Notamacropus eugenii: one gene and its partners. The protein of the gene in region 1 interacts with the protein of each later gene in a biochemical or structural test. Links are inferred from orthologs where the notes say so. Each region holds a gene or a part of one and is shown on either strand. Other genes may lie near its edges.

Region 1 (7,741 bases):
AGATCTATGACCAAGAAAGAGCATGGCTGATCCCATTTGCCTTCCCTGCCCCACCAAACTGAAAGTGGTCTCTGATCCTCACATTTCCTTAGAATAATACTTTATCTGAATTTCTTCTGTCAGATATACTCAATCTTGTTTGCTTTTTGCATGTTATTTTTTCCACCCTCAGTAGAATGGAAGTTCCCAGTGAGGCAGGGAAAGGGCCATTTTTCAGTTTTGTAGATATATCAACCCCTTGATAGGAGATCTTCCTGGGATTAATATTCACAGCCAGGTAGGCACTTAAGAAACCTTTGTTGAACTGTACTGAAAAACTCTGTCACCATCACATTACTCCAGACAACAATGGAGCATTTGCCCAGTGGTTTGTGGGATGCCCTGCATTTGCTGCTCTCTAGGGTGGGTGGAAGGAGAGGGGGGAAGGGGGGTAGCAGGTGGGACAGAGCAGACAGGGCACAGCAGTTCCTTCCTTCTGCTGGAGACTTGGTGGCAATCAGCTCAACCTCCTTTATGGAGGAAATTCAAAAGCCTTGCTTCTGCTTCACTCCTTTCTTTTGTTAGGTTTTATGGGAATTATCAATGATGAATTTAATAATTCACAATTTATAATAACAATTACTATCATGATTATTAAAATCTGTGTTCCCAATAGTCCTTTAGATGAAGTTCCTCAGGTAGCCCAGGGAAACTTTAAATAAAATTGGACTCCTTAAATGGCCATCTCTTAGCAAAGCCTCAATCTACTAAAAAAAAAAGTACAGATTACCCCAGTGAGCCACTGAACCATGACCTTGGCTCCATTCTAGAATAGAATGTTTTACCCTGAATCCCAATCACTGAGCACTGACTTTATTCCCCCACCCCCACTTCCATCTTTCCTCTCCCTCTCTCTCTGAATCTTTGTGACCTTCAGCAGGTTACTTCAAATCTCTGGGCCTTAGTTTCTTCATCTGTAAAATAAGGGCATCAGACTAGATAGCATGAAAGGTTTCACTCTAAATCTATGATTCTATCCTTTGTCCCCCTTTTTCCTTCTCTCTCCCTACTCACAATTCCTTTTCTCCCCCATTATACGTTTGCTTATAGACTTGCCCTCTTTAATATACATACATACCTACAAGCACAGAGAAAGAGACAGACAGAAAGAGACAAACAGAGAGGGAGACGGAGAGAAGGAGAGGAGAGAAGGAGAGATGAAGAAATAAAATTATTTGACTAAGGCTCAAATATTAGTGCTTAAAAAAGAAGTGAACTATTGAGCAAGGTACTACTGAACCACAGTTAACTGGAGGAAGATAATCCCACTTAAGAGAGGTTTTATCATTTTTCACATGCGTTACATCTTGGGTAGATATTGTGTTGGATCCCAGTTCTAATAAGGCAAAGGCAGTAGCCACCGGCCAAGCACATGAGCTCAGAAAAAAAGGACAGAAAGGTCAGAGAGGAGAACAATAGTGGTCTCCAAGGAGTAAGAGGAATTGGCAGCCACAGCAGGACTAGTTTGGCTCAGTGAGAGGTTACTCTGTCCGAAACAAACTTCCCCAGATTGTTTCCATTTCTACTTTTGGAGAATGAATGTGCACTTTGACTTTTGGGGTGGATGACTATCAGCATAATTGCTAACAGATCACTTCCTTACAAACTTTTTTTTTTTTTTTTTGCTAACTTGTCTCAGCAAAACAGCTGATGTAGGAGTTTGGAACGTTGCACCTCACAGTGCTGCTTCTCTGCCTGGATTTCCCACAGCCAGGCCCTGGCTCCCCAGTATTGTGTGTGGCTTGCACGCCACAGATTCTTCTCCCCCTCACCCCCCATCTAAATGCCTCCAGTGTAAGTTGGCACACTGAGGGTGAGGCTGCAGGGTGTACTAGCTGTGAGATCTTTATTAAGGAAACAAAAAAAAAATGGGTCCCAGAGCTAAAGTTACATTTAGGAGGGGAAAAAAAGTAAGGAAGGTCCTGGCAGAACAACCTACTAAACAGTTTATTTGCTGTTAAAAGCAAGGGGGGTGGGTAGCACAGAGGGAGAAAAAACCTTTGTACCCCATTTGTGAAGCTCAGAAAGGATAATCCATTTTACCTGAGCTAAAAGTTTAGTAAACACATGGCTAAGTATAAAATATTCTAATCCAGATCCCAGTCTCCCTGTGACAACAGATTGTACAATTGAGGACAAAGATCAAATATTTGCCTTCTTCAAAAAAAGTTTAGGGATCAGGAATATTGCGATGTGGGTGGGCTGGAGGGGACATAAGGAAAAACTGAACTTACAATCTTAGGAAGTATTGAGTGGGCAAACAAGAGGTGCTTTGAAAATACTTTTAAGGAAAAAAACAATTTTTTACAATTTCAGGTAGAAATGAACTGCGATAAAAGCAAAAAGTTAAATGCAGAGGGAGTTGACCAGATTCTAAGAGTGCCCTGCAGTCCCCACCTCACAACTGAAATTAGCATTATAAAAGTCTCCCCTCCCCCACCCTGAAATTAGCATAATGAAAACTTACCCTCTCCCCATTGAAATTAACACTACAGATTAAAGAAAGCTACAATTCCAAATCCAATTACAAATACCTGTCAACTCCTCTCACCTAGGCAGTTCCGTTTTATGGGGGGAAGGGAAGGAAAAAAAAATCAATATCCCAGAAAGGAAGAGGCTGAATTAATTGTTTCAAAAGGCAGCATTAGTTAGCCATGTGGCTTTAACCAGAAGATCCATTAGGCATCCAACTTCTCTCCCAGAAGGAGCTCCCCTCTCCTGAGAAAAAACTAAAGTTGTACTCACTCGGCCAATTTCTTTCCTGTTTCCTGTTCGGAACAATGTGACCAGTGGTCTAACTATCCAGAGAGAAAATGGGCGTTTCAACTCACCTTTCCAGGTGTTAGGGTTTTTGAAGCTGGCCACAGTCTGGCAGAGCACACGCATCCCTAGCACGTAAGTCAATCAAACTCCGTCGGGTCCGTCCTGACACCGCATTTGCCTTCCTTCTGCAGGTGTCTGCGGGGAGGAAGAATGAATGGTATTGGTTGGCCTGGAGCAGGAAATGTGTGACATCACACAGAACCCTGAAAAGATAATCTTCGTGGCTTCGACCTTAGTGAGGGAACCAGTCAGTAAATTCCTCCGTACCTGTCATTTACCTGAATACCTGCAGCCAGGTGCGAATTATTCAGTTAGAGTCATTTGCAGTCAGGTATTTACTTTCTTTTTTAAGTCACAACCCAACCTGCCTGCTCCTGGGTTGTTTTCATCACGACACAGCTCCCTAACTCTGTTAACAGCTCTGTTGACTGCTGAAGAGTTAAACGAGAAATTTAAACACCCAAACGTGATAGGAACTTACTTGATTTAACCCAAGCACACGTGAAGATCGGTTGCGTAGAAACTGAAGTAGTGTAGAGAGCTAGCTGAAGAGGCAGTCAAAAGACCCGAGTTCAAATCCAAAATCTGCTCCCTGCCAAGTGACCTTGGTGCCAGTCACTTAACCTCTGGGACTAAGTTCCTCTTTTGTAAAATATGGGGAAGGGAGGGACTGAATGATCTTCCTGCTCTACTTCTAGGACCCCATGAAATTCAATAGCTTTTTTGAATGGATATCATTTGCTCTTTTCCAGAAATCTATCTCTAATAGAATAATAAAAACTTTAAAAAACCCCAAAAACCTTTGTGTTTACTTGTATAAGTTTTATAACCAACTTATCTGTGCACATATTGTTTTCTTTACTAGAGTATAAGTTCCTCTGGGGCAGGGGTTGTTTGATTTTTTATTTAAATATCATACATACTGTGCCCAGCACATTGTAGACATGAAAGTGTTGTTAAATGAATTAATTTTGTTGGACCTCATTCATACTTCACTCAGAATGTTAGGGCTGAAAAGAACTTTAAGAAATCCTGTAGTCCTCCCTCCTTGTTTTCAGGGAAGGAAACTGAGGCTCTGAGGATTAGAGTTGACAGCTGGCAGAACTTGAATTCAAACCCACGTCTTCTGACTCAAAATCCAATTTTTTGTTTTGTTTTGGAGGGAGGGTGACCCTGCACCACACTCTTAACCAGGAGGATGGGCTGCTATTTTCAAATGAGATGTTCCAACTTTGAAAATGCATTTTTTGTGTTCCAATGACAGACTTAGACGTTTGTAACAGTAGTCATGCCCATTACAGCTTGCTCAGCTGGCACGGGGCAGTTACAATTCTTTGTAGGCCTGCAATTACAAGTAATTTAAATGATTCAGATTAGAATGCTATTAATAAGGCTACTTTGCCTGCTAGTTAGAGACAGGAAGGAGGAGTCAGAAGTTATTTCTATTCCTAGCTTATTGTATGACCCTGGGCTGTATGCCATTCAGCCTTTTTTCCACCAGGAAAAATAAGGGTAATGCCACTTACCTCATGACAAAATGGGCTATTACGAGAATATTAAAGAGCAAATGTGAGGGAGTGTGGTAAACAAGGATTTATTCATTCATTCATAATTGAATTTTAATATTTTATATTTTTGTGGCCTCTTTCCAGGATCCTTGAACAATTTAGACTATGCACTGGAATGTACCACCTGGGGAAACTGTGGAATCTCCTGCCCTGGAGGCCTTGAAAAATAGGGCAGCCTATTTTTCTTTCAAGAATGGCCTAGATAATTTTAGGGGGTTCCTTGCAACACAGTGGTTCTAAAAATTGCTTTTGCCCTCTTGGGGATAAAGGTGCTAGAATTCTCAAGTATTTCTTCTTTCTCCCTTCCCTCGTACTTCCCCTTATGCAAATGCTCATTTTAAAAGGCGTCATTTTTTTTTGGACTGGATGTATGATTTCATCAGTATTGGGAACTTCCCAGCAGAAAAATTGCCTTTTCCCATGCATATGGGCACCTTCTCTGTAACTATCCAACAGCTGCCTAGAGCAACGAGAGAGCCCTCCCTGCCACTGAGACCATCTCTTTACCCACTACAGCTGCCTTTCAAAAGGTGAGACTTTGGGTGTCGATATGATAACCAATTCAATAGAACAAATAGAGTAAGTACCTGACATAATGGAAAAGGCATCCATCGAACTTGGCATCTAAAAGCCTGTTTTTGAGACTCTGGTTCTAACATTTATTAGTTTTGTGACTTACTAGGGAGTCACTTAAACTGAGTCTCTATTTCTTTACCTGTAAAACTGGAATGCAGATACATATACCACCTGCCTCACAGAGTTGTGAAGAAAGCTTTCTGGAAAATGTAAAGTGCTATTCAAATGTGAGTTGCTATTAGTAGACATTACCTAATCTTATTTTTATGCCAATTCTGAGTTAAATGGGGCAGGTGTTTCCTTCTCATCTCAGACCCTCATAGTGCCCTTAGACAGTAGGAAGGCATTATGACTGTGCTAGAGTGCCAAAGTACCCTGGATCTGTAAGCTTGAATAAGTCTCTGCCTCTCTGAACCTTAATTTATTATTACTATATTATTATTAACAGTAATAATAAATAATAATAACTACCATTTATATAACATTGAAGGTGCCTCACTTCATCCTTGCAACAACTCTAGGAGATAAGTGCTATTATCTCCATGTAACAGATGAAGAAATGGAGGTAGAGGTGAAATGACTTGCCCAGGGTCACTCAGCTAGAAAATGTCTGAAGTAGGATTTGAACTTAGCTCTTCCTGGCTCCAGAGCCAACACTTTATACACCGTACTACCAGCTGCCCCATCTCTAATGTGAGGAAAATGGAAGACAGCTAGGCAAGTACAGTGGATAGAGCACCAGACCTGGAGTGAGGAAGACTCATCTTCCTGAGTTCAAATCCAGCCCCATATACTTACTAGCTGTGTGACCCTGGGCAAGTCACTTAATCCTGGTTGCCTCAGTTTCCTCATCTGTAAAATGATCTGGAAAAGGAAATGGCAAACCACTGCAGCATCTTTGCCAAGAAAAACCCCAAATGGGGTCATGAAGAGTTAGACACGATTGATCACTGACAGAATAACAAGGAAGGACTGGAAACAGTACTACTGGATTTTGAGTAAGAAAACCTAGGTTTGAATTCTTGCTCTGTCACTCATTACCTTTGTGACCTTGAGCAGGTCACTTGATCACTAAGAGCTCTAGGTTTCCCTATAATTAAGCCCTTTCTTTAAAACTTGAAGACAAACTAGGCACTAGGGATAAAAAAAATTAAGTTTCTGCCTTACATTCTATTGGATAAAACATGTATAAATAGGAATAGATATATGTACATAGATATTTCTACGTATTAAGTATACAAGATAATTTCCAGAGGTGTAGGGAGCATTTAGCAGCTGGGGGAATGCAAAAAGATGGATCTGTAAAATGAACAGAAAACTTCTTAAGGTCTTTTCTTGCTTCAAAAGTCTTTGATCTCATAGGCAAGGCAGTCTTTGATCCCATAGGCAAGGCACGGTGCTTCATATCAGAGAGAGAGAGATATCTATGAGGACTATTAAAAGCCCTTCTTGACTGTACCTTAAACTTTGCCACCTTAAAACTGAAATCCAATCTGGCTTGGGATCATCCAGATCATGCTGGAGCATACTGAATGACTATTGGGGGAGGGATAGTTCTGGTCCAGGACACTGGGGCAAATCTAAACTTTAAATGCCTGCGGGATATTTAACTTTCACTTACTTGTTTGTTTGTTTGTTTGTTGATTAGTACCCATGATTTTATCAGTAAGGAACTTTCCCTGGGGTGGACAAAATTCCAAGCCCAGACTGACCTAGCCTGCAAACTCTTTCAGGAAAGTTAGACGCTTAAGAAGATTCCCAAATGAAGATTGGGCCATTTTGCCGCCAACCAAAATTTATTTCCCCTTTCTTCATTTCTGCCTTTTGGAAACTGCTATGGATATTGGGGTGGGGGGTGGGGGAGAGAAGAGACTTGCAAAAAAGAAAACGAAAACAGAAATCCCTCTAAAAGAAAGGAGAAAGTACTAGGTTGTAAATGTGGCTCAAAAGTTGAGTACCTTCTTTTGCAATAATAAGGCTGAATACAAATGCTCATTACAAAAACAAAGGCACTTCTTTTGCTACTGGAAGGGTGTTCCCTTTGAGAGGGGAGAAGAACTTGTCTGCCAGCTTGTGTTAAACACTAGTATCTCTGACTCAGACTCTGCCCTCATAGAACTGACAATATAATGAGTGAATCAGACTGTACCCATGTAGGAAGTTGATCAAGGGAGTCTACTTGATATGGACACCTGAGAAAAGACCTATCATACATACATTTCCCCATGAAGAGTGTGGACATGCTCATTAGAACTTCAGTGAGAGCATATCAGAAACTGACAAATGCTACAAATCAGGACTTGATTTTATTGTTTTGTTGGTTGTTTAGAATAATAAAGGGATGGAGAAAATGTGAATAAATCAAATTAAACTTAAAAGCATGTCATGTATACATTTTTTTTTCTCAGAGTACTGTTTACTAAACCTTTAGCAGTACATTACTGGAGGCAGCCCCTTTGTACTGGGTCTGTGACAACAAATTAGAGTCAAAGAGAGAGAACTGTAGTAGAACTAGGAGGCAATCTAGCTGTGGATGTTGGGGGTGGAGGGAAATCAGTGTCTCTAGTTATCTCCATCTTTCAACACACACAGACTGAAGCTGTTAACAGCAAACATGGAGAATCAGTGGTAGGGGCTCATTGGCTGACACGCAAAAAATGATGACACAATTATACAAGACAGGTGCAGTAGAGAATTGTTTTAAAACAAACACAAGATTCCAGAAGACTTATTAT
Region 2 (7,946 bases), on another chromosome or scaffold:
CAGCACACCCCAAACAATTCCCTCTAGTTGACTGGTAAGAAAGCCATAATAGGTATGCTGTAAGGTCATACATAGAAAAAGCTGGCAAGCTGTCCCAGGGTGTTGGGGAGGGGCTTGCTGGTGGAGAAGAGGAGCACTTTAGAGATGCCTGTCCTGTTTTCCAGGAAGAGGGGATAAACTGAGGAGGTTGATCACAATTTTTATACCAAGAAAGTATTTCACTCCCACCATTCACCAATGTCCCGGGCTCAGCCAAAGCTCAATGTGATCCTAACCAGTAACCTTTTGTGTCCGTTTCTAGTCAGGTCATACCAACCCATGGGGTAAAGAGGGCCCATTTCCACATGAAGCCTTTTCTTTACCCAGCTGACTCTATAGAGTCAATGGTGTATCATTTGCCCGTGTTTCTACTGGATTGGAGTTCTTTTCCCCTTCTTGAGGCCATGGTCTAAAAGTTTCTCTGCAAGCAGCCCTATCCCACTTTTGGATGGAGAGAGTGAAGCTACTTGCTATCTCCCCAAGTCCTCCCCACCCCATCTATCCTTTCACACATAGGCAGAGTCACTTGATTGAGTCCTGCCAAAATTGGGAACACTGACCCGAGGCAGGTCCTTGTTGCGGATCTCATAGACAGACTTCCTCTTGGCCTGTGCACCACGCACAGCCAGCTTAATCTTGCGCCAGCCCAGGTGGTTGAGTTCAGCCAGATTGAGGACAACACAGATGCCACTCACAGCAAACATGAATACGAGGAAGACTGTCTTCTCTGTGGGCCGGGAAACATAGCACTCTACCTCCTTGATACAGGGGTAGCGGTCACATTCATACAGTCCAGGGACACTGAAGCCATAAAGGAAGTATTGGCCTACCAGGAACCCAATTTCTAGGGCATTACGGAAAACCACCTGGATGATGTAGAAGCGGGAGATGCCCTCTTGCCGACGGAGCTTGGAGCGTGCTGCTGTGCGCAACCCTGATGGGTGTGGGGCCAACTCCTTCACCTCTAGACAGTCTGGCTCGTTCTCCTTGCTAGTATTCTCTGTGTTCTGTAGTACTCCATTTACAATGGCATTTTGAAGCTTCTTATTGTCTTCTCGCTTTCCCCCACCACTGCCCCCACCCCCAGCCCCTCCAGGACCCCCAATCGATTCAGGAGGGTCCCTGTCCAGGGCGAGGAAGACAGTAGAGTAACGGCGTTCCCTCTGTTTGGCAGACTGATGCACTGAGTAAGTGATGAAGCAGAGGCTAGGGGTGCACACCATGATGATCTGGAAGACCCAGTAGCGGATATGAGAGATGGGGAAGGCTCGGTCATAGCAGGCTTGGTTGCAGCCTGGCTGCAGGGTATTGCACACAAACATGGTCTGCTCATCATCATACACAGTCTCACCCACTATGGCCACGATGAGGATCCGGAAGATCACCACCACTGTCAGCAGGATCCTGGGAGGGAAGTAGGGAGGGAGAAAGAAAGAATGTCATGGGCTGAGAGTCACTCAGTGGCCTGCTGCTGGCTTAGGGATCCCCTGCTCCTCCCATCCCATCCCTGGTGTTTCCCTGGTGCTTTGGCTGAGGAGCTGTCCACCATTCAGTGGTCCTGAACTAAGAATCTGAGAGCAATTATGCTTTCAGCTTTCTGACCATCTGGGATTTGTACACCTCCGTTTCAGAGGTCCCGAGTATATACGCAAATATTTTGGAGACGTGTGTATATGCAAGAGATTCAGATACATCTATACATAATGCATCTCTACATAATACATATATATTCATTATGTATATGGCATAGACACACAATTACATCAAATGCAAACTAGGGATATGTATCGTGTGAATGGACTCCATAAATGTTCATTCTCTATGTAAATATTATCCCTAATGTTATATTTAAAATAGTCTATTTATATGTATAAACACACAAAAATAATCCTGGTGTATGTGTGTGTTTCTCACACTATAAGCTTTCTTGAATAAATCGAGGAAAGAAGCTTCAGCCTCAAAGGATGACTCCATCTCCCTCTTCGCCCTTCTCTCTCCAAACACCATACTCCCTTCCAGCTTCTATTTAGGAAACAGAAGGGAGATCAGCTCTGACTCGGAGCACTAGGGGACCCAACAACCTGTGCCCAGAGTTCCGGTTCTGATGGGGGAAGAGTTACCCCATGGAAGGGGCCTCCCAGCAAGAGATCAACTTTCAGGAAGATCCCGGGGAGAGAAGGAAATAACTGGAAGAGAGAGGGGCAGTTCTGGGCTTGGGATGGTCCCGCCATATCCAGAACCCATGGGCCCAGGCAAGAGGGAGGGAAAGACGGGGGAGGGGAAGGGGCGCGAAAGAGGACTCGAATCGGTGAGGAAAGGGGGCCATGGGAAGGGGTGGACGCTGTGAGGCTCTGGTCCAGCGCGGCTTGGCTCCCTTACCTCCCAATCATAGTGGAATGTTGCTGTACGGCGGCTTCCAGCAGCCTCTCTAAGATGGTCCATTCCCCCATCGCTGTGCATTCGGAGGCAGCAGACAAAGACTGGGCAGCGCTGGGCACGTCCCTGCTCCTGGCCCCCTCCCCAGTCACCACCCGACAACGGGGGCTAAAGACCAAAAATAAGAGCAAAATAAACCTAATCCACTACTCTTCCCCCTCCCTCCCTTTTTTCTTTTTCTTTTTTTCACTTAAAAGAGAGGGGGGAAATCCAAGCGAGTCCAGAGAAATGGGGTAGCAGCTGGTGCTGTCCAGGGACTAGGGCACCAACCGGTCAGTTGCTGTCCAGCCTGGGGAAGATTCCCTGTGTGGCTTCGTCCAGGCAGGGGGTGGGGGCGACTGGGAGAATGTACTGGTCACTAGGCTGCTGCTAGCTGGAAAGAGATCTCTTGCTCCTGTTTCCCAGTCGGGTGGGTTGGGGGGGAACCAAGGTCCCTGCCTTGTCTCTGTGTCCCAGGGCAGCCCGACCCTTGTCTTGCAGCCTCAAACAGTGCAGGCTGGTGCCTTACTTCCCGCCTCCGAGGCCGGGCCGGGATCGCGACCCTGAATGCACAGAGGGAGCAGACTGGGAATCCGCGTCTTGCCGCCTCTAATCCTCCCTTAAGTAGTCTCTGCTTGCGTCACTCCAGGTTGGTGGAGGGGAGTGAGCGCCGGCGTGTTGTAGCTGCGCTCCCAAGCCCGAGGGGCTGGGGACTTGTGGAAAGGCAGGAGAAGGGTGGGAGAGAGGGAGGAGGCTGAGTCTTGGGTGTCCCAATTGAGCGAGGGGGGAGGGGGCAGGGAGTAGGGAGGAACCATCTCAGCTTCCCTAACTGGCCAACTGCAGCTTCCTCCTCGCTAAGCGGCTCAAAGCATTCCCTCCCTGCCCGCCCAGGTAGCACCGGGAGCTCACCTGCCCGCCAGACTACGCCTGTAGCCAGGGAGAAGATGGGAATGGGAGGTGAGGAGCTTGGGGCCATGAGTGAAGGGATGAGGGCAACTGTGTCTTTTCTTCTCAACCATTCATTAGTATTCAGCCCCATTTTTCTCCTTTCATCTAGTGTACGCACAGGGGGCTCAGAGTTGGGATTTCCCCTCGAAAGACGCACGAATGGGGCTGATTTAAAAGCTCTAGCAAGGATGCAGGTAATCGCTGTCTGTGAACAGGGCTGGAAATAAGGGGCTCCGTGGGCCTGTGGAGATTTGGCGACATAGGTGCGAATACCCTTAGGGGGACAGTGAACGTAGCTGTGAACGGGCCTGTGTGTATGTCTATGGCGAGAGAAGTATGTGTCCACTTATGTATATGCATATGTCTATCTGAATGGGTACTAACGTATGTACAGTGCAGTGATTGTATGTGGACGCCCCCTTATTTATGTTAATAGGAGAGCTAAGGAACAGAACCACTTCTGACAGATTGTGCATAACCACCCTCCTAATTTGGACAAGGATAGGCACAAACTTTGTCTAAACCGGACATATAGCATCACTCCTACTTGCTTCTTTCTCTTTTTGCACACCCACTGCCTTCCCAAATAAGCCCAGCTTAATTTCTGAGCCCCTATTTGCTTTGGGTTGCCAGATCTGCCTCTGTAAAATGTTCAATTAGCGGCTAGGAATTCTTTCACACCAGGATGCTCGTTAGCTTAAGGCTAGACATTTGAAGATATTGATAGTTTTCAAAGTTTTGGAGTATTTTCCACCAGCATAAGAAAAGAAAATGCTTGGTGTTCCTACTCTTAAAAGAAGCCTTGTGAATGTGTCAGCATTTCTTCTTAGAAGCATAATGCTCTCAGAATTGTTTCCATCTATATGGGAGATCACATACATGTGTGGCTTAAACCACACAGAGAAGAAAGAATTACGAGTCTTTTAGTTGCAGCAGACCCTGAACTTTGTTTTAGGTAACAATCTCAGACTTTTGAGATAATGACAATTCTGAAGCATAGACTCAGTATAGAAAAAGGTTTTATTTGTACATGACTTCAGGCAAAAGGAAAAATCATTTCAAAACCTAGGGAGCTTCATTTTTTCTGTTCTCCCCAGAGTTAGCTACTATTGTTGTTTAATATTTGATAACGTAAGAGCACTTTCACAGCAGTTCACACAAGAAAATAAAGTAGAACTAGAATAGGGAAGATGTAAATGAAACATCAAGTGATGATTATGAAGTTAGAGTGGATATCCTTCACTGATCTTTTACTTCTTTTGTCTCTGACAAAATGGGGCTTTAATAAAACCCTGCTCCTGATGACTGTTGAAGGACTTGATGTGTTTTGATTCTCACTTTAAGGCATCAAATGTGTTGGTGAAGAGGAAATAATGACTGCAAAGAGCTAGAATGACTTCGTCAAAAACAGATCATGTCAGACTAACCTTATTTCCACTTTTGACAGGATTACTAAAGTATTAACTCAGGAGAATGCTGCAAATATAGTTTATGTGGATTTTTTACAAAGCATTTTAAAAAATGTCCCATTCTATTGTAGGAAAATGGAGATATATGATCACATGATAATTCAGTTATATGAATCAGAGACTCGTTGATTGGCCGCATTCAAAGATTAATGGCTAATAGTTGGATCAGCTTAGTAGAAGGTGTCCAGGGAAGTGTCTCGGGAATCTGTGTTTGGTTTTGTGCTATTTAACAACGTTTTTATCATTAATTAAAGGCAGAGATAGCATATTTATTGAATATGCAGCTAACACAAAGTTGGTAATATTACAAAGAAAAATTAAGACTCAGAAAGACCTTCATAGGCTAGAGGAGTGGTTTAAATATAATCAGATGAAATTCAATAGGGACAAATACAATGATTCATTCTTGAATTCAAATAAATCAGAAGTTTAGCGTGGGAGAAACATTCCAAGATAGCAATTTGCCTAAAAAAAGACCTGGGGATTTTGGTGGACCACAAGCTCTATATGTGTGAATAGTGTAATATGGCAACCAAAAGAGCTTATGTAATCTTGGGTTACATTAAAAGAGGCGTAGCCTCTAGTAATGAGGAGATCATAGCGCCATCAATTTAAAGTTGGAAGGTACCTTAGAGGTTATCAAGTCCAACCCTATTATTTCAAGAATAAGGAAATCAAGTCCCAGAAAGTCAAAGTGACTGGTCACACAGGCAATGGAGCCAAGATTCACATTCAGGCTCACTAACTCTGTGATTCCCTGTCCTTTCCACTGTACCACACTAGCTCTGAACAGTTCCTCTATATTCTTGCTGGTCAAACCACAGATGAGTATTGCGTTCAATTAGCTCTGGATGCAACTGTTTAGTAAAGATATTGGTAAGTTGGAGAGCCCTTAGAGAAGGACAACCAGGGTGCTGGAAGGCTTGGAGTGTAGGTAACGTAAGAATCAATCAGAGGAATGCAATGTATTTACCCTGGATAAAGGAAGATTTGGAGGTGGAGGAGGGTGAGGTAGAGAACATAATAGCTGATTTCATGCATTTGAAGGACTGTCATGTGGAAGAAGAATTATATGGACCCAGAGATTAGAATCAAGGACAATTTCACAGAAATTTCATAGAAGCAAATTTAGGGTTGATGTCAGGAAAAATTTCTCCACAATTAAAGCTGTTCAAAATTGGAACAGGTTGTCTCATTGGTTTTGCCTTCACTGGAAGTCTTCAGTAAAGCTTTGTTCAGTGAACATTTGTTGGGTATGTGATAGTGGGATTGCTGCCAGGGTTCCTTCCAATTCTACAATGTTGTGATTCTTGTGCTTCTTCAACTAAGACTCCTAGAAAGATTCTCCAACATTCTCTTTTCCCATTTTATCCCTGTTCTCTGGTTCTCCTGTTTGGAGTATGTTTTGATGAAAGGGATTTCAGTAAATGGGAACAAGTAGGTAAAAAAAGGTAAAGAAAAATAAATCAAGGATAACCTGAAGTAAAAGTAGTGGTAATATTTTTATCTGGTTGTGACTGAGAGTGTTAGAATGTAATGCATGATACATTGATCATTATATAAATATATGTAGTTATCATTTCATGTATTTGAATGTGGTCCTAAGAACATTCATTTTGTCTCAGTTTGTGGTTTCATCAGGGAATCTTCTCAATGTAGAAACTCCCTCCCTTGATATAAATCAGATACTCATCTGTAACTTATCATCCTAGGGGCTGAGATAGACTAACTTCTCCATGATCCCACAAAAGGTATATGTCAGAAAAAGGACAGGAACTCAACTCATCCTGATTTCAAGACTAGCTCTCTATCGATTACTTCCCATAGACTATTAAAAAGATATATATCTCTATTTATACATGCAGAGAATTTTAGTTTCCAAGACCACTCATCTGATATGACATGAAGTCAACTGTGTTTACATAAGCCAACAATTTGTATCCCACCACACATAAAGTTTGCAAAGATATTAATTTATAGTGTTCTATGGCAACTGTGGTCTATGTCCTTCCTTGTCCTTCCTAGGATAATGAATTTAGTATAGAAAAGCACCTCAACAAAATTTAGAATAGAAAAACACCTCAGTAGTACAGGTCCAACTTCTTCATTTTGTAGAGTAGGAATCTGAAGTCCAGAGAGGTTAAATAGTTTGCTGAAAGTCATAGAGCTAATAAGAGTCTATAGGAGGATTTGAAGCCAGGTCTTAAGTTTAGGACTCTTCACAACAATGTAATGGTCATTCTCATCTTCAGTTTAAAACTCTGCTCATACTGCAGTATCTTAGTCTGCTATGTAGTTAGATTGGCAAGCTTTGGAGTTTGTCCATTAGTATACCTATCTTGGACAGACACTTCAAATAGACAATGAGCTAAGTCCAGGATTGAACAGGAGCAGAGCAGGTCTTTGGAAAATTGTCATGTTCTCTTACTAATGCCTTGATTCTATCCAAAACAAAGACATCATTTTAACACCAATATTCTTCTGGTATTGCCATATAGCTGTGAGTTATTGAACACTACAGTCTCCAAAGAATCGAAGCTAAGATCACCCAAAGAGCAGTGGAAAGGCAAATGGGAGTTGTGAGCTGGCTATAGCATATTATGAAAAACAAGCATACAGAAGAAATGTTGCAACATGTACAATCAAAAAAATACGTGATAACAAAAGATGGGCTGATCACATATTGATAGTGAGGCATAACCAATGGCTGACCACATAAGCCATTGGAAGCCTTGACATTACTTCAGAGTATACAATGCCATTCTAACTTTCCTGCCCCTTTTTGCTTACCTTATCTCTTTTCAACATAGCATATACACTCTCTTGCCTCCTATGATCTTTTCAATGTCTCTCTTGTCAATCTTGTCTTTTTTTGTGGGGAAAAATGCTTCCCATATTTTACTTACTCTATGATACCTTGTGTGGTAGATAAATGTAAACAGTTTTTCCAGTATAAAGTCTTTCTGTTTAGATTTTCAAGACTTCAGGAAAATATATTCATAATAGCCTCTGTTAGGTTACTCCATCCCTGGTCAGGAGCCCACCATCTTATTAAAATATAATCCATGGTCTAGA
Region 3 (6,901 bases), on another chromosome or scaffold:
GTCAAATTTACAAGAATACAAATCATTCCTCAACTGATAAATGGTCAAAGGATATGGACAGGCAGTTTTCAGAGGAAGAAATTAAAGCTATCTGTATTTACATGAAAAAATGCTCTAATTCACTATTGATTAGAGAGATACAAATCAAAACAACTCTGAGGTACCTCGTCACACCTATCAGATTGGCTAACATGACAAAACAGGAAAATGATAAATGTTGGAGATGTGGAAAACTGGAACACTAATTCATAGCTGGTGGAGCTATGAACTGATCCAACCATTATGGAGAGCAATATGTCCAAAGGGCTATAAAAATGTGCATACTTTTTGACCCAATAATACTACTTCTAGAATTGTATCCCAAAGAGATCATAAAAATGGGAAAAGGACCTACATGTACAAAAGTATTTATAGCAGCTCTTTTAGTGGTGGCCAAGAACTAGAAATTGAAGGAATGGCTAAACAAGCTGTGGTATATGAATGTAATGGAATACTATTGTGCTATAAGAAATGATGAAAAGACAGACTTCAGAAAAACCTTGAAAGATTTACGTGAACTGATGCTGAGTGAAGTAAACAGAACTTGAAGAACATTGTACACAGTAACAGCCATAGTGTTCAATGACTGATTTTGATAGGCTTAGCCCTACTCAGCAATGCAAGGACCTAAAATATTTCCAAAGGATTCATGATGGAAAATGCCACCCACATCCAGAGAAAGAACTATGGAGTCAGAGTGCAGAATGAAGCAGACTATTTTTTTCTTTTTCTCTTTCTCATGGTTTCTCCTGTTCATTATAATTCTTCTATGAAACATGACTAATGTGAAAATGCGTTTAATAGGAATGTATGTGTAGAGCCCATATCAGATTGCATGCCATTTTGGTGTTAGAAATAACCAAGAATTCTACAAGGCTATGAGGGAATTTAGAAAAAAAAAAGAGTTTTACTTCACATTTAAAAGACAGATGACTTGGCCTTCAAGCTGGTGTAAGAACACATAATGCAAGTTATGTAAGTCTTTATAATTCATCCAGACTTGAATTTTTGCCTTGAACCCCATTGATCAACATTCCAGGGTTCACTAAACCCTACCTCTTGATTACATCTTCATTTACTTTATTCTTTAAAGGAATACTCTTAGTCCCTTCCCCTTTTGTCTACATCAGATAGCATGATTAAAGAGCTTTCAATTGCTAAGAGAACTGACAAAAGTGTGAGTTCGAAGATTCCAGGATATCAATAAAAAAAGATGGTGATGGGGTGCTTGGGTGCCTGTGCTTGGATCCCAATTCTAAAATCACATTTCTCTCTAAAATCACATTTCTCCCTAGCCTCAAAACACTATCCCAGGCAGTTTTCCCCAGCCCAAGTACAGCCTGCCATAGATCTTTCTTCCTAATATAGCAGCCAGCAGCACCTATAGGATTTATTAGTTTGAACCAACTGTGTACTGGCTGAACTGGCTGTGTACTGGTTCATAAAGATATTTACTATTCACTGACCAATCATATGTATCCTAGACTTAGAAATGTGTATACTTCCTTAAGTTTATCTGCTCTAACAAGATATTGATGGGAGCAGCCTGAGTATTTCTCAAGTCAACCCTGGCCATTAGTTGACTTAGTGACATTTTAGGCCTAAAACCACACCCATGTAAGCCCTCTTTGGGCTATTTCTGATGAACTCTGGGTAAAATATCTGTGCAGTAGATACTAAAAGTGCATGTTCTTTTAAGAACTAACCACTCCTTAATCACTCCCTAATCCCACCCTGAATCACCTAGTTAGCAATTTTGGCACATACTTCACTATAGAATATTCTATATAAACTTTAATTGTACCCCTCTAAGGTTGTAGGTTCCCTGAGAACTCTTGCCTGCTGAAAAGTGTAATAAATCTTTACCACTTTGACCTCAAGAATGATTGAGTCCATGAATTCTTTCAGGATGGCCCACCCAAGGACTTCCAGTCTTTGGGTTCCTGTACCTTTTCAACGCTCATTAGTGGGTTTATGGCTCTCATTCTTATCCTCTGTGGATGAGAGCTGGCCTGGCAGTTGTTTTTGGTATGCAGGGAGAGGCCTTTTCAGAACAAAGAAAAGTACATTAGAACCTCAGTTTTCAAGTAACCTGTTTTGCTGAACAAGGAAAAATTTTTCACAAAATTTGTCTTGCAGGACAAACAAAAATTCGCAGTACAAACATCATGTTTGGACTTGAGTAGCTTGAGAAGGGAGGACACTCAACTAGGGCAATTTTTTTTTTTTAACTCATATAAGATTTGCATGCTGTCATGGGGAGGGAGCGGAGAGAGGATGGGAGAAAATTTCAAACTTATGGAAGTGATTGTTGAAAACTGAAAACAAATTAATCAAAAAAATGTCAGACAAGTGTTGTTAGATAGATTCCTAGTCAGAAGCGAATGTAAAAAAAAACAATCAGTAAGTCAAAACATGAAAGTGATTCTAAACAATGCAAAATAAGTGAAGGCAGTAGTGTTAGTCTTACTTTTAGTGAAAGTAACATAAGAGAAAACACTTCCCAGGTTGAAATCTCTGATGTTCTCATAGGAGATCCTTCTACCAAGCAATAACCCTTCCTCCTCCTCCTCCTCCCTCTTCTCTCTCTCATACCAGCCATGACTGTTCTCAAAAGTAAAGTGTAGGTTAATTTATTTCATTTTCAGTTTATATTGTATACTAATCATTGCTATTGTATTTTGGGTCCATTAGGGACAAAAAACTTAAAACTGTAAAGAATTATTTTTACATGAATATGTTTGGGGATGTGATACCAGTCATCTGACTTTACATTATTTTCTAAGGGAAAATTTGCTTTGCAATACAAACAAATCACACGATGAACAGAATCTCAGAATGAATTAAATTCATAAACTGAGGTTTTTCTGTAGTAGATACGCTGATTTCCAGGACTAGCATTCCCCACCCACCACCTTATACAAGCAATTTTTTCTCTGACATTAACCATCAATATGAATTATAATTTTATTTAATTTTTGTGGAAACAAAATTTAATCACACCTTGCATTGGAGAGAGAAGGGGGAGGAATGGGGAGAAAATTTAAAACTTCTGAAAGTGAATGTTGAAAACTAAAATTAAATAAATAAGTTGAAAAAAAGGAAGTTAAAAAAGTCTAAATTGCTTTCAGTAAAGGGTGATACTAAATAAAGTTTTAAAAAAGAGAAAAATGGACAGATAGATGATGAGATAGGTTGATGTAAGGAAAATAGGGACAAAGAGAGATGATGGAGAGCTGATAATCACTCACATATCCAGAGATAATAGATTGTATACGTAAATGGAAGATAGTTCATGAATAGATACATGTAGGATAAAGACGGATGGATGGATAAAGAGATAATAGATGATAGATAACAGAATGCTCTTTAGGTAACTATAGGTAGATAAATAGATACATATGGATAAATGGATGAGCGATGATAAGGAGCACAATGCTCCTTAGGTAGATACAAAGGGATGCCTAGGTCCGTCAATCAATCATAATCAATAAACGTTATGAAGTAGCTACAATGTGAACGGCGCCGTGCTAAGCTCCTAGAATGAAGACAAAAAAAGCAAAAAGTGTTTCTGCCTCCATGGAGAAGAAATACAGACTAAGCGGGCTGCGCACAGGCCAGATAGGAGGTGCTCCAGTAGGGGTTAGGGAAGGTGGGCAGAAGGTGGGATCTCCGCCAGGAAGGTGAGGGGAAGAGGGGCAGAGACAGCCGGAGAGATCGGGAGAGACGATAGAGCAGGATCTACAGGTGGACTGCAGATAGAACAGATGATATGTGAATATGTCTGTGTGTACAAACAAGAACTCCAACATGATAATGAACCGTAATCAATGGGGAGGGGAAGAGGCAGAGAAAGCGAAGGAGCGAGGCGGGCAGGGAACGCGTTCCCACGCAGCTTGTCCCTCTGTCCGCCCCGTAGGCCGCAGCGCGCGGGTTTGAAGGCGGCGGGCGTTCGAATCTCAACGGCTTCGGTGGAGTCTGCGCGCGGAGGCGGGTCCGGGCGCCCCCGCTGATCCGTACCTGCTCAGGTGAGTCTGCGAGCCGCGGGAGGAGGGTGGCCGGGGCTTGCTTGTCTCCGCCGGACCCCTCCCACTTTCTGGGGAGTCCCAGCCCCCTTCCCTCGGCTGTGTGGAGACTGAAGCCCCGGGCTCGCCCCGCTGGGGCGGCCGAGCTGGTACTCGAACCCGGGGCCTCCGGAGCCGGGTGACTGCGGTCACCGTCGGAGTAAAGTGCGTTTGTGGTAGCCGAACGGGTAATGAGTGACTTGAAATGAATAAGACAAGGATAAGCATTCCCGCATGGGATCGGCCCACAAGCTCTAGGGGCCCTCGGTTATTTTGTTGAAGAACGTAAAGGGGTCCTGAGACCGGGAGGATGGAGAAGCGCGGCTGGAGAGAGGGGCGTCCTGGCTTCTGGGGTCCGGGCCGGGGGCCCCCGAAGCCGCTTCCAGCCTGACATTCGCTCTGCGAGCCTGCCGTCCCTTTCCTGTGGTCTCACAGCCATTCTTTTTCCTCCTGCTTTTTTCTTTCCTTCTTTCCTGTAGGGTTTTAGAGGAGAGAGAGGTACATAGAGAAACAGAAGAAGTGTAGAGAGACCCCCAGAGAGAAACAGAGACCGACAAAGAGAGAAAGAAACAGATACAGTAACTTATAGAGAGACAGAAGTATAGAAAGAGAAACAGATCGAGAGAGAGAGAAAAAATAGAAAGTATCAGAAATAAAGAGAAACACAGAAACAAAGACAGAGAGAGAAAATGTTATATTCCTTTTGTAGGAAATTGATGAGTCTCTGGCACTCTAGGAGGGTGGGAAATGTGATTTCAGCAGTGTACACATTCACTCCATCCACTGATGCAGATCAATGGGCTTTATAGCATTAAAGAAGTTAAGGCTCTCTCTACACTATACCCTATGATATAGTTTGTGTCTTTATAAGACTATTTTAGAATCTGGCTGGGGAATGAATGAGTAAAAGAGCATTTATTAAGTGCTTACTGTGTGCCAGGCACTATGCTAAATTCTGTAAATACAAAGGCAGTCAATGAGAATTGATTAAAACACTAGAAGGATCAGGCATGACAACTGATGCAACAAAATTTATTATTTTAATTTGAAATAAAATATTTCATTCTATCTCTACTTTTTCTTTCCTCTTGTGTATTTTTTAAAAAATGTACTTTGTTAATTGACTGACTGCAGCCTGGTCCTGTAAGGTATTTTTAAATTCTGGTCCTTTTATTAAGCACTTATTATGTGCCAGGCACTGTACTAAGCCTCAAGGATACAAATAACTTGCAAAAAAAAAAAAAAAAAAGAAGACAGTCCCTACCCTCAAATTGCTAACATCCTAAGGAGGGAAGATAATACATAAGCAGGGAACTAACAAGTTGGGATTGGGGAGAGAAGGTAGCAGAACAGGGACATGGTGGCAAAGTCCCTAGAATGATGGCTGGTCTGGGCCCTCCCTCAAAATGGAATTTCCAGGAAGAGCTCAGTGGAAGAGATTCATAGAGAGCCCCTTCATGGTGGTAAAGTTCACTTAGGTACTGCCTGCTCTCTACAAGGTGGGAGAGAATATATTTTGGTGTCTAGGGAAGGCACTTTTCATCTGAGGAGTCACTGGGATGCTGAATTGATCAACAAGCCTTTGCCAAGGGTCTACTGTGTGCCCGGAAATGCTGAGCATTGGAGATGAAAGTTAAAAGTAAAAAGGTCCCTGCCTTTAAAGAACTTATATTTTAGCCAGGGCAGAAGACGTCCATATGTGTGTATATACGTTTGGGAGTAAGGTGAGGGTGATCAAGGCAAAAATCTCTGAAAAAGGTAGCACTTGAGCAGAACCTTGAAGGAAACCAGGTCCAGGCATGGGGAATGGCCAATGCAAAGGCACAGCGATGGGGGATGAAACAATAGTTTGTGAAGATCAGAAAGAAGACAAGTTCAGTTGTACTAGTGCATATGAAAGGGAATAAAATATAATAAAACTGAGAAGTGTTTGAGGCCAAATTATGAAGGGCTCTCAATGACAAAGATTTTATATCTGATTCTAGATGTAGTCAGCCAGTAAACATTAAGTATATACTATATTTATTGAGTGTAGGTGGGAAGTGGTGACCACAACATTGGTCAGACTACTTTAGGAAGATCATTTCAGCAGCTCTGTGGTAGATGAATTGTAGTGAGGAAAGACTTGAAGCAGGGAAGCCAACCAGAAAGTTGTTGCAAAAGTCCCAGAGTATCTTTAGGTGATAGGGACCTGTACTATCATGGCAGCTGTGTGAGTAGAGAAAAGAGAATGTATATAAAAGTTGTTAGACTTGGCAGCAAATTGGCTAAGTGGAGTGAGTATGTGGGGAAACGATGACACCATTTGTAAGTTTGGATGACTGGAGGATGGTGCTGCCTTCCCAAGAAATAGGGAAGTTCAGAGTAAGATTTGTGGGCAGAAAAGATAATGTGGACATGTTGAGCTTAAAGAGTCTACAAGACATCAATTTCCAGGTGTCCAGTAGGCAGCTGGCGATGGAACACTGGAGGTTAGTTAGAATTGGACAGATAGATATGAGAATCACCTGCATAGAGACTGTCACTGAATCCATGGGAGCAAATGAGATCACCAAGCAATATAGCAGAAAGGGAAAAGAGCAGGGGGCCAAGGAAAGAGCCTGGGAGGAAACCGATGATTCGTGGCTGTGAGCTGGATGAAAATACCAAAAAGACTTAAGGAACAGTCAAGTCAGCAAGCATTCATTAAATACTTACTATGTGCTCCAGGGGTGGGGATGCTGCAACCTCAAGGCCATTTGTGGCCCTTCCACAGAATCCAAACTTCACAGAATAAATTCCCTTAATAAAAAGATTTG
Region 4 (7,863 bases), on another chromosome or scaffold:
CCTAGAAGGCCACATGTGTCCTTGAGGCTGCAGATTCCCCATCCCTGATATAGGTAATCCCTCTAATGGTACAGATAGCAGGCCTCTACTGTCTTTTTTCAACTTGGACAATTTCTTCTTCACTTTCTTCTCTGGTCACTTCAATTTCCCCAAGACATATAAGTACCTGGAGCCTCAGTGTCCTTGCTTTCCCATGTCTTATAGACATAGAAATTGAGAGGTAGCTATTTTAATCATAGGAAGCAGTCAAATTATAACATATACACTAGAAATGATTCTTCCAGGAAGTCAGACTGAAAGCCTCAGTCATCTTCGACCCTTTCTTATCCTTTACTCTTTGTCTGGGCAAAGATTTGGTGCCTGTGGTTCATGAATTCTGCACTTTTCAGGGCAGGACTTGGGTAGAATTATGAAGTAGGTGAAATTTGTCTTTGGAACATTCGTCTTTTCTTCATTTTTCCCTACCTCTGTATCCCTTCCCCAGACCCCTTCCTCCCTAAAGCCCCAACCAACTTACCCTAAGTTATTTATGTACACCATAGAGCCTTACCCTCAGCTATTCAGATGGTTGATCAAACACCAAGATATTTCTCTGGACAAGTTGATCAAAATGCTTTCCGGAACTAAAATAATAAATCTTTCAGTAGTGGAATTTCAGGATTTAAGACAAGTGGGAGGCAGAGGCAACATGTGGGGTTTGTAGGATCTTAGATTTAACACTGGAAGGGACAGTTCTTAGAGGTCATTCAATCCAATCCTCTCATTTTACAGATGAGAAAACTTCCCAAAGTCACATGGTTAATTACCAATAGAGGTAGGCTTTAAACCCAGGTCCTTTGATTCTGAATCTATTGTGCCAAGTTTTCATTGGCTCTGATCATGTTTCCACCACTCACTACCTATGTGACCATGTTCAATCACAACTTCTCTGAGGTTCAATTATCTCATTTTCAAAATTGAGAGGGAATAGGTTAGATGATAATAACTTGTATTTATATATAATGTTTTATGATTTACAAAGTGTGTTCTTCACAACAAATTAGAATTTTAAAATTATTAAGTCCCCACTATGTGTGGGTACCAGGGACACAAAAATGAAAAATTACATTGTCCTTACCCTCAAGGAGTTTACAATATCATAGAGTTAGTGGTGACATGTATATATGGTAACTATAAGAGAGTGCAGTATAATGGCAAATATATTGGACTTGTCATCCTAGGTTTGATCTAGATTTGAAACTTGGCTCTGCTCTTTATTGTCTGTATAACCCTTAGTCAAGTCACTTAGCCTCTATTGGTCTGTTTCTTTTTCTGTAAAATGAGTGGGTTAGACCAGTTGACTTCTAAGGTTACTTCAGGTTCTAAACCTTTGATCATGTGTGATAAGTGTATAAGAAAGGTCAACTAGAAATGGATGAGAGATTGGAGAGACAGGTACCGATTTTCACCAGAAGCACTGGACAAGCCTCCTCCCTCCTTGATAAAATGGAATCTGAACTGGATCTTGAATGAAGGGAAATATGTCCAAATCACACAGAATCCACTCTAGTCATGGAGTATGTATGATGTAAATGCACAGTTTGGAGAAAGCAGGATCAGTTTAGGGAATAGCCAGTGCATCAATTTGTCTGGAATATGTATATATGAAGGAGAGCGTAGTGAAATAATGCCATATTGCAGGGGGCCTTGAATGTCAGAAGTGGGAATTGGTATTACTTTGTAGGAAATGATGAAGTGCTCAATGTTACTGACTTGGACCAGACTGGTGCATTAGGAAGCTTGTTTTGGAAGCTCCGTAAAAGACAGATTGGAAAGATAAAGGCCTAGGAGCAAGGGCAAAAGTAGGGAGACAATAGATGACAAGGGCCTGAACTGGAATGTGACACTTGGAGTATAAAGGAGGGGAGGGATAAAAGATATTGTAGGAACAGAATAAAAGAACTTGGCAATGCAGGAGATTGAGGGAATGAGGGAGAAGGAAGAGCCAAACCTGGCCCTGAGGTTTTGAGCATGGGTGATCTAACCAGTCATGGGGCCATCAATAAGAATGGAAATTAGAGGAGGAAGGACAGGTTTTTTGGGGAGTGTAGCACTAAGCACCCCACCATATACAGGGGGACCTGCTATCACAGGTTCTTAGATTTGCATTCACAAAGGGAAATGCAACTTTTGAGGGTTTAACAATTACTTTAATTGTGATTAATAATAATAAAAGTGATTAATAATCACTTTAATTAAGCACAGGTATCAGAAAAAATCAAAGTCAATATTTCAGAGAAGTCAAAAATCAACAGATAGCGCTTCCAAACTGCCTGACCACTAACATACATACATCTTAACCAGACAGGGAAGCATCAATATCTGGGTTTTCAAAAAAGCTGGGGAGGGGTTGCTTAGTGGCTTCCCAGAGTCTCATCTGGCACATAGACCTTCTTCCAAAAACTAAGCCTCTCAAAGTAAAACCTCATCCTCTGAGTATTTATAACCCTCTGACCTTGGGCAGTTAGGTGGTGCAGTAGATAGAGCACTAGTGCAGGAGTCAGGAGGACCTGAGTTCAAATCTCACCTCAGACACTTTAACACTCACCAGCTGTGTGACCTTGGGCAAGTCACTTAACCCCAATTGCCTCATCCTGAGTCATCTCCAGTCATCCTGATGAATATCTGGTCACTGGATTCAGATGGCTCTGGAGGAGAAGTGAGGCTGGTGACCTGCACAGCCCTCTTTTCACTCAAAACAAAGTCAAGTGCAAGTCATGTTATCATCTCTCTGATGGCATGGTCTTCTCTAGCAATGAAGGATGAACACACACAACCCTCTGACCCAGTGCCTCAATAGAAAAAACAAAAGGTACTTGGGACCTTCCTACACAACAACTCCCCTAATCAAGGTCCCCTCAAAAGATGGGAGAGATCCTCCCCAATCACATTATTCAATCAGAGGTACTTTTAATAAAACAAAAACAGCAAAAGATTCTATTTTACTTGCCAGTACAGGGAGGAATTATAACAATAACTGGCAGGGGTGTGAAGTGCTTTGCACATTATTTCATTGGAGCCCCACAACAATGCTGTGAGGAAAACACTATTATCTGTCCTCCTCTTAGAGATGAAGAAACCTAGGCTGAGTGAGGTTAAGGTGACTTGCTTAGTGTCACATGGCTAAGTAATGTGTGACGTAGGATTTAAACTGAGGTGTCCTTGATTCCAACTTCAACACTTGATCTGCTGCACCACCTCATTGCCTACTTCAGTTTCAGACAAGCTGAAGTGTTAGAACTCAGGTCCTCCTGACTCCAGGACCCATGCTCTATCCGCTGCACCACCTAGCTGCCCCTGACACTAGTAACTTTAAATTATATGTGTGTGTGTAGGTATGTGTGTTTGTGTATATACATATATGTATATATACCCCCATACCTACACACGCTATATACACAGGCACACATATATGTGTAGGTATATACAGACACATTTATGTACAAATGCACACATTGTGTATATATTTATATATGTACACACATATGTATATATACACACGTATATACATATATTTCCAATTACATGTCAGAACAATTTTTAACATTTATTTTTTAAAGTTTTGAGTTCCAAATTTGCTCTCTCCCTCTCTTCTTTCCCTTCTCACTGAGAAACCTGTCATTAGTAACTTTGAGAAAAGAAGCTGGCTCCTGGATTGTAGCCCTGATCATTTTACTCCCAAACCAGGGTGATTTTCACACATACTCAATTTCCTCTGACATGATCTCTATCATCCCTTCAAGCCCAACACTCAGGCTATTTAAGGCAAGACCCGGCCAACTCTATTTACTCATAAAACTAGACCAGCTCTGCCTGCTCAGATGTAGCAAAACTTCATAAATTTTTGTTGGCTTTCGGTTTTTAAATGCAATGTATGGGAAAACATCCTATCAGAGCAACACTGCTTTATGGGCCATGGCTGCCAACCAACCATATAATAGTACCTTCTCTGTTTATAGAGCCTTTCTTCTGAGAGGCTCAAAGTGTTTCAACAAATGTTTTATTCATTTTCATAACATGCCTGTGAGGCAGGTAGGGGATAGATATTACTATTAGCTACAGTTTACAGATGAAGAAAATAAGGCAGAAAACTCCTAAGTAATTTGCCCAGGGTCACAGAGTTAAAACAAATGCATATGTGAGACTAGAACTCAGATCTGCGGACGTAATGTTTGTTCAGAAAAGGGTTTGGCTGGGCAGAGTTATAATGTAATTACCAAGCCTAGGGACTGGTTCTCTATGAATCATCTATACAACGCAAAAAGAGCATGTTGACAATATGTTTTGTTTGTCATTGTGTACAGAGAATAAAGATTATTTTCTAAACTGGACGCTGGCCCCAAGTGTGTGTGTGTGGAGTCTCTCAGGAATTCAACCACACAAACCCTTCCTCCCCTCTCCCACACAGGAGGATGTCCTGAGTGCTTGTTGAGGGGGGAAAGGGGGAGAAGACAGAGCAAGTGGGTCTCTCACTTGCACTAGCAGACTCTGACGTAGTATCGCCCTCTGGGCAAAGGGGCAGGATTCGAGGAAGGGGTTGAAGGGGGAGGAGAAAGTCTTTAATTACACCCTTGACTTTAAGAGTTAAGTCGTTCGGGTTGGAGAAAATGAGAGAAAGCGCCCTCCACCCTCAAGGTCTGTCTCTAGCCTGGGTCCCCAAGCACAGAAAACGAAACTAGGATCAAAAAAGGGGAGGGCAGGGGGGGGCTTGTCAAGCAGTTTGCTCCCACTCAAGCCCCCGCCCCCCAGAGGAAGGGGAGAAAGTGGGCTTCTTCCTTGCTTCTCTCCTTTACTTCTAAGTGGCTTGGTTTTTCCAGATACTTTGGAGCTTGAGAGGATTATCTGAAACGTCGGGCTGTCTGGACTGCAGACGGGAGCACGAAGCGCAGGCCATTGTACAGCGAGGGCTTTTCTGGAAGTGATCCTGGGCAGACTCCCTCCTGGAGACCTGCCTCAGTTCATCCCATCCACCACTCAGCGGCTAGGGAGAGGAGGGGAGGCGGGGGAAGGGGTTGGGGGAGAGCGGGTCTCCTGCCTGTCGCCCTTTTAAGGGGCGTGTCGCTCCTCCACGTGCTTTCGGTGAGTGACTGAACTACATAAACAGAGAGCCGGGAAGTAGGGGGTGGGGAAGAGAAAGAGAACAGAGTTTGACCGATAATAACCCCGCTGTTGAGCGCAGCCGAATCTATAAAAGGAACTAGTCCAGGCTAAAAAACCCTTAATTCTGGGAGAGAGGGACTGAGGACCGTGTGCTAAGCAGAGAAGCGGGAGCCCGTTGCTGCCCGCAGGAAAGCTAAAGCAGAGCTTGGCACTAAAGGGTTATCGGGGGCGAGAGCCCATTTTTTGGCTCTCTCTCTATTTTTAAATTTTTGCTTTGTTTTGCACAAATATTTCCAAAGGCTCAGGGGAGAGAGTGGCAGAAACAAAAGCGGGAAAGCAGGTAAGAGCTCTCCAACAAGTTAAGATTTTGCTGTGTGTGTGTGTGTGTGTGTGTGTGTGTGTGTGTGTGTAGGGGGGGTCCCCTTTTTTCTTTCGGAAGAGGAAAAGTCTGATTTTTGTGATTTGTTCTTACTGTTGGGTGGAGGGGAGGACCCCCACATCTGCCTGCCTTCTCTCGCCTCTGGGCAGGGTTTCTGTGCTTTGGGAGCATGAAAACAATTCCCCCTTCTCCATTTCGTCATCACTCTCTTCTCGGGACGAGGTCGGGAGGCTTGTCTCCTCCTGAGAGAAAGACGAGCATCCCTTGGGATCCGCGGGGACCAAGGGTACGGGGCCCCTTTCTTTGTCCATCCTGCCGACCGCGAGGCTGAGTCCGGGGAAAGTGGGGTGGGAGAAGGACGTTAAAGGGGAGCACGCGAACCACTTTTGGGGGGAGACCTGCGGGAGCGGAATTCAGAGTTTTTGTGGACCGAAGGGAGGACGAGCAGTACCTGGTGCAGCAGGAACTCCCTCGCCTTTGTTGAGGGATACAGGACTCTTCCCGAACCCCCTTTTTGGTTTTCTGGTTCGTGCGCTTTTTTAGCTGGGAGACGGTTCCTTCGCTTGCTCCTCTGGGCAACCCACAAGAAAGGCATCGAGCTGTGTTCTTGCTGATTACTTGTAACTGACAAAGCTTTTCTTGTGTAACCCGGGACGTTCCTTAAACAGTTTAACCCCTTCTCATGGCTTTGATCATTCTGTCCCCCCCCGCCCCGCTCCAATTTTCAGCATAGTTCTAATAATTTCTAATTAACATTTGTGTGGTTCTGCTAATAGATCTTACCTGGTGAACATATGCATATTTTTCAAAAGTGGGGGGAGATGGTGGATTAATGTAATCTGTGGTGCGATTCTGTTTTACCTCCTTGACTCCAGCCCACCCCCTACCCCCCAATTTTGGTCTTTGCTGCTTGTCTCTGTGTGGAGACGGCGGCGCAGCTAGAATGACCGAGAGTAACCCCGGGCCGGCTGCGCAGAACACCGAGCTCTGCCACATAGCGTGGGGAGGGCGGGGGCGCGCAGCAGCACCCCCCCCCCCCAAGCCTTTTCTCCCCACCCCTTTACTTCCTCCCCTTGCTTCTCTCCCCCTCCTCTTGGGCTAAAGAATCCAGACCTCCTTGTTGGGGGTGGGGATTCCATCTGGAGTGGTGGGTGGGTGGGTGGGTGGGGGGATGTGGGTGGGGGGGAAAGTGGGGGTGCTTGAAGAGGTCCCATCTAAGTGCCACTAGGACCGACAGACTCTTAGAGACAACTTGAGGATTGGGGCAGACAGCGGGTCTGGGCTGTAGATGCAAAGTTCTGTGTTTCCTTTCTGATCTAGACTGAGTCAGCCATGGATTGGGAAACTGTGCTGGCGCAGACTAGGAGGAAGCTTTAGAAAGCCCCCTTTTTTGTTGATTTTCGTGATTGTTCTCCGCCGCCAACCATCCTTGGCTAGATCTTGGAAGTTTCCCGGAGGTGGAAGTCCACAGCTCTGGGCGCTTTCATTGTCTTTTGACTCCCTCCTTTGGGGACTTAGCAGAAATGAAACAGACTCTGGACCACAGTAACCTGGTTACTGTTCCTTTTCAGCACTGAGATAATCAGGTTTTAGAAGAAGGCAAGTGATACTTTTGAAGGATACTTCGAAAAGCGAGCACAGGCCTGAGACTGAGTTCATTGTTTTATTCTTGTGACACCCTATGGAGATCTGGGTCTTGACCGGCAAACAAAATAATTATAACTTTAGCAACTCACAATTCATTAATTATTAAAATGGAACCAAATGAAATCACAGCTGTAATAGCTTTTTTCTCACCTTTTGGCAATAACACCGGGTAGAGGGTGAGTTTGCTCTCTCCACCCCAGATTCCCAACAAAACAAAACAGCCACTTTCTTACGGGACAAATTGGGCAGTTTCCACTGTGTGGAACAATTGAAATGAAAATGCGAAACAAAAAAAAGGTACTTAACTCATTTTATTTCAAATTTTATTTTTCCTTGCTGAACTTAACAACTCCAAATAAAGGTACATTTACATATCCGTAGTAGAACAGGAAGACTTGTACCTGAAACTTAAAATCTTTTATGTATATACAGTTTGCTTTTAATAATAATAAAAATTAGCTTTTACATAGTGCTTTAAGGCTTGCAAAGTGCCTTACATATATTTGATCCTCACTACATTTGGGTGAATTAAGTGCTATTATTAATATTTTATTTTATAGAATGGCTGATTCTGAATTCAAACTTAGACCTACGGACTCTGTCCAACATTATATCCACCGTAGCCACCTGTAATAATTAAGTCAATATGTAGCATTCAAAGCTGTCCTGCTTGTTTGATATGCCTCATTTTAATATAA

The links.
Region 2: the proteins of LNX1 (region 1) and GJD2 form a complex in vitro, tested with the Homo sapiens proteins (2 studies listed by BioGRID and IntAct, with this or other methods). The link is inferred for Notamacropus eugenii from reciprocal best matches to the Homo sapiens genes LNX1 and GJD2.
Region 3: of the proteins of LNX1 (region 1) and PBK, one has a biochemical effect on the other in vitro, tested with the Homo sapiens proteins (2 studies listed by BioGRID and IntAct, with this or other methods). The link is inferred for Notamacropus eugenii from reciprocal best matches to the Homo sapiens genes LNX1 and PBK.
Region 4: of the proteins of LNX1 (region 1) and ABCA1, one has a biochemical effect on the other in vitro, tested with the Homo sapiens proteins (2 studies listed by BioGRID and IntAct, with this or other methods). The link is inferred for Notamacropus eugenii from reciprocal best matches to the Homo sapiens genes LNX1 and ABCA1.

The regions. Positions count from the first base shown.
Region 1 is NC_092877.1:105,074,862-105,082,602, forward strand, and holds the start of LNX1 (E3 ubiquitin-protein ligase LNX), read right to left. Parts: upstream 3,001-7,741; 5' UTR 2,871-3,000; intron 2,869-2,870; exon of another isoform or gene 2,785-2,868; intron 1-2,784.
Region 2 is NC_092878.1:19,548,190-19,556,135, forward strand, and holds the start of GJD2 (gap junction delta-2 protein), read right to left. Parts: upstream 3,005-7,946; 5' UTR 2,490-3,004; coding exon 2,419-2,489; intron 1,444-2,418; coding exon 546-1,443; 3' UTR 1-545. UniProt on the Homo sapiens protein: One gap junction consists of a cluster of closely packed pairs of transmembrane channels, the connexons, through which materials of low MW diffuse from one cell to a neighboring cell.
Region 3 is NC_092872.1:524,127,146-524,134,046, forward strand, and holds the start of PBK (lymphokine-activated killer T-cell-originated protein kinase), read left to right. Parts: upstream 1-3,884; 5' UTR 3,885-4,067; exon of another isoform or gene 4,068-4,268; intron 4,269-6,901. UniProt on the Homo sapiens protein: Phosphorylates MAP kinase p38. Seems to be active only in mitosis. May also play a role in the activation of lymphoid cells.
Region 4 is NC_092872.1:61,855,385-61,863,247, forward strand, and holds the start of ABCA1 (phospholipid-transporting ATPase ABCA1), read left to right. Parts: upstream 1-4,850; 5' UTR 4,851-5,479; intron 5,480-5,563; exon of another isoform or gene 5,564-5,804; intron 5,805-7,863. UniProt on the Homo sapiens protein: Catalyzes the translocation of specific phospholipids from the cytoplasmic to the extracellular/lumenal leaflet of membrane coupled to the hydrolysis of ATP.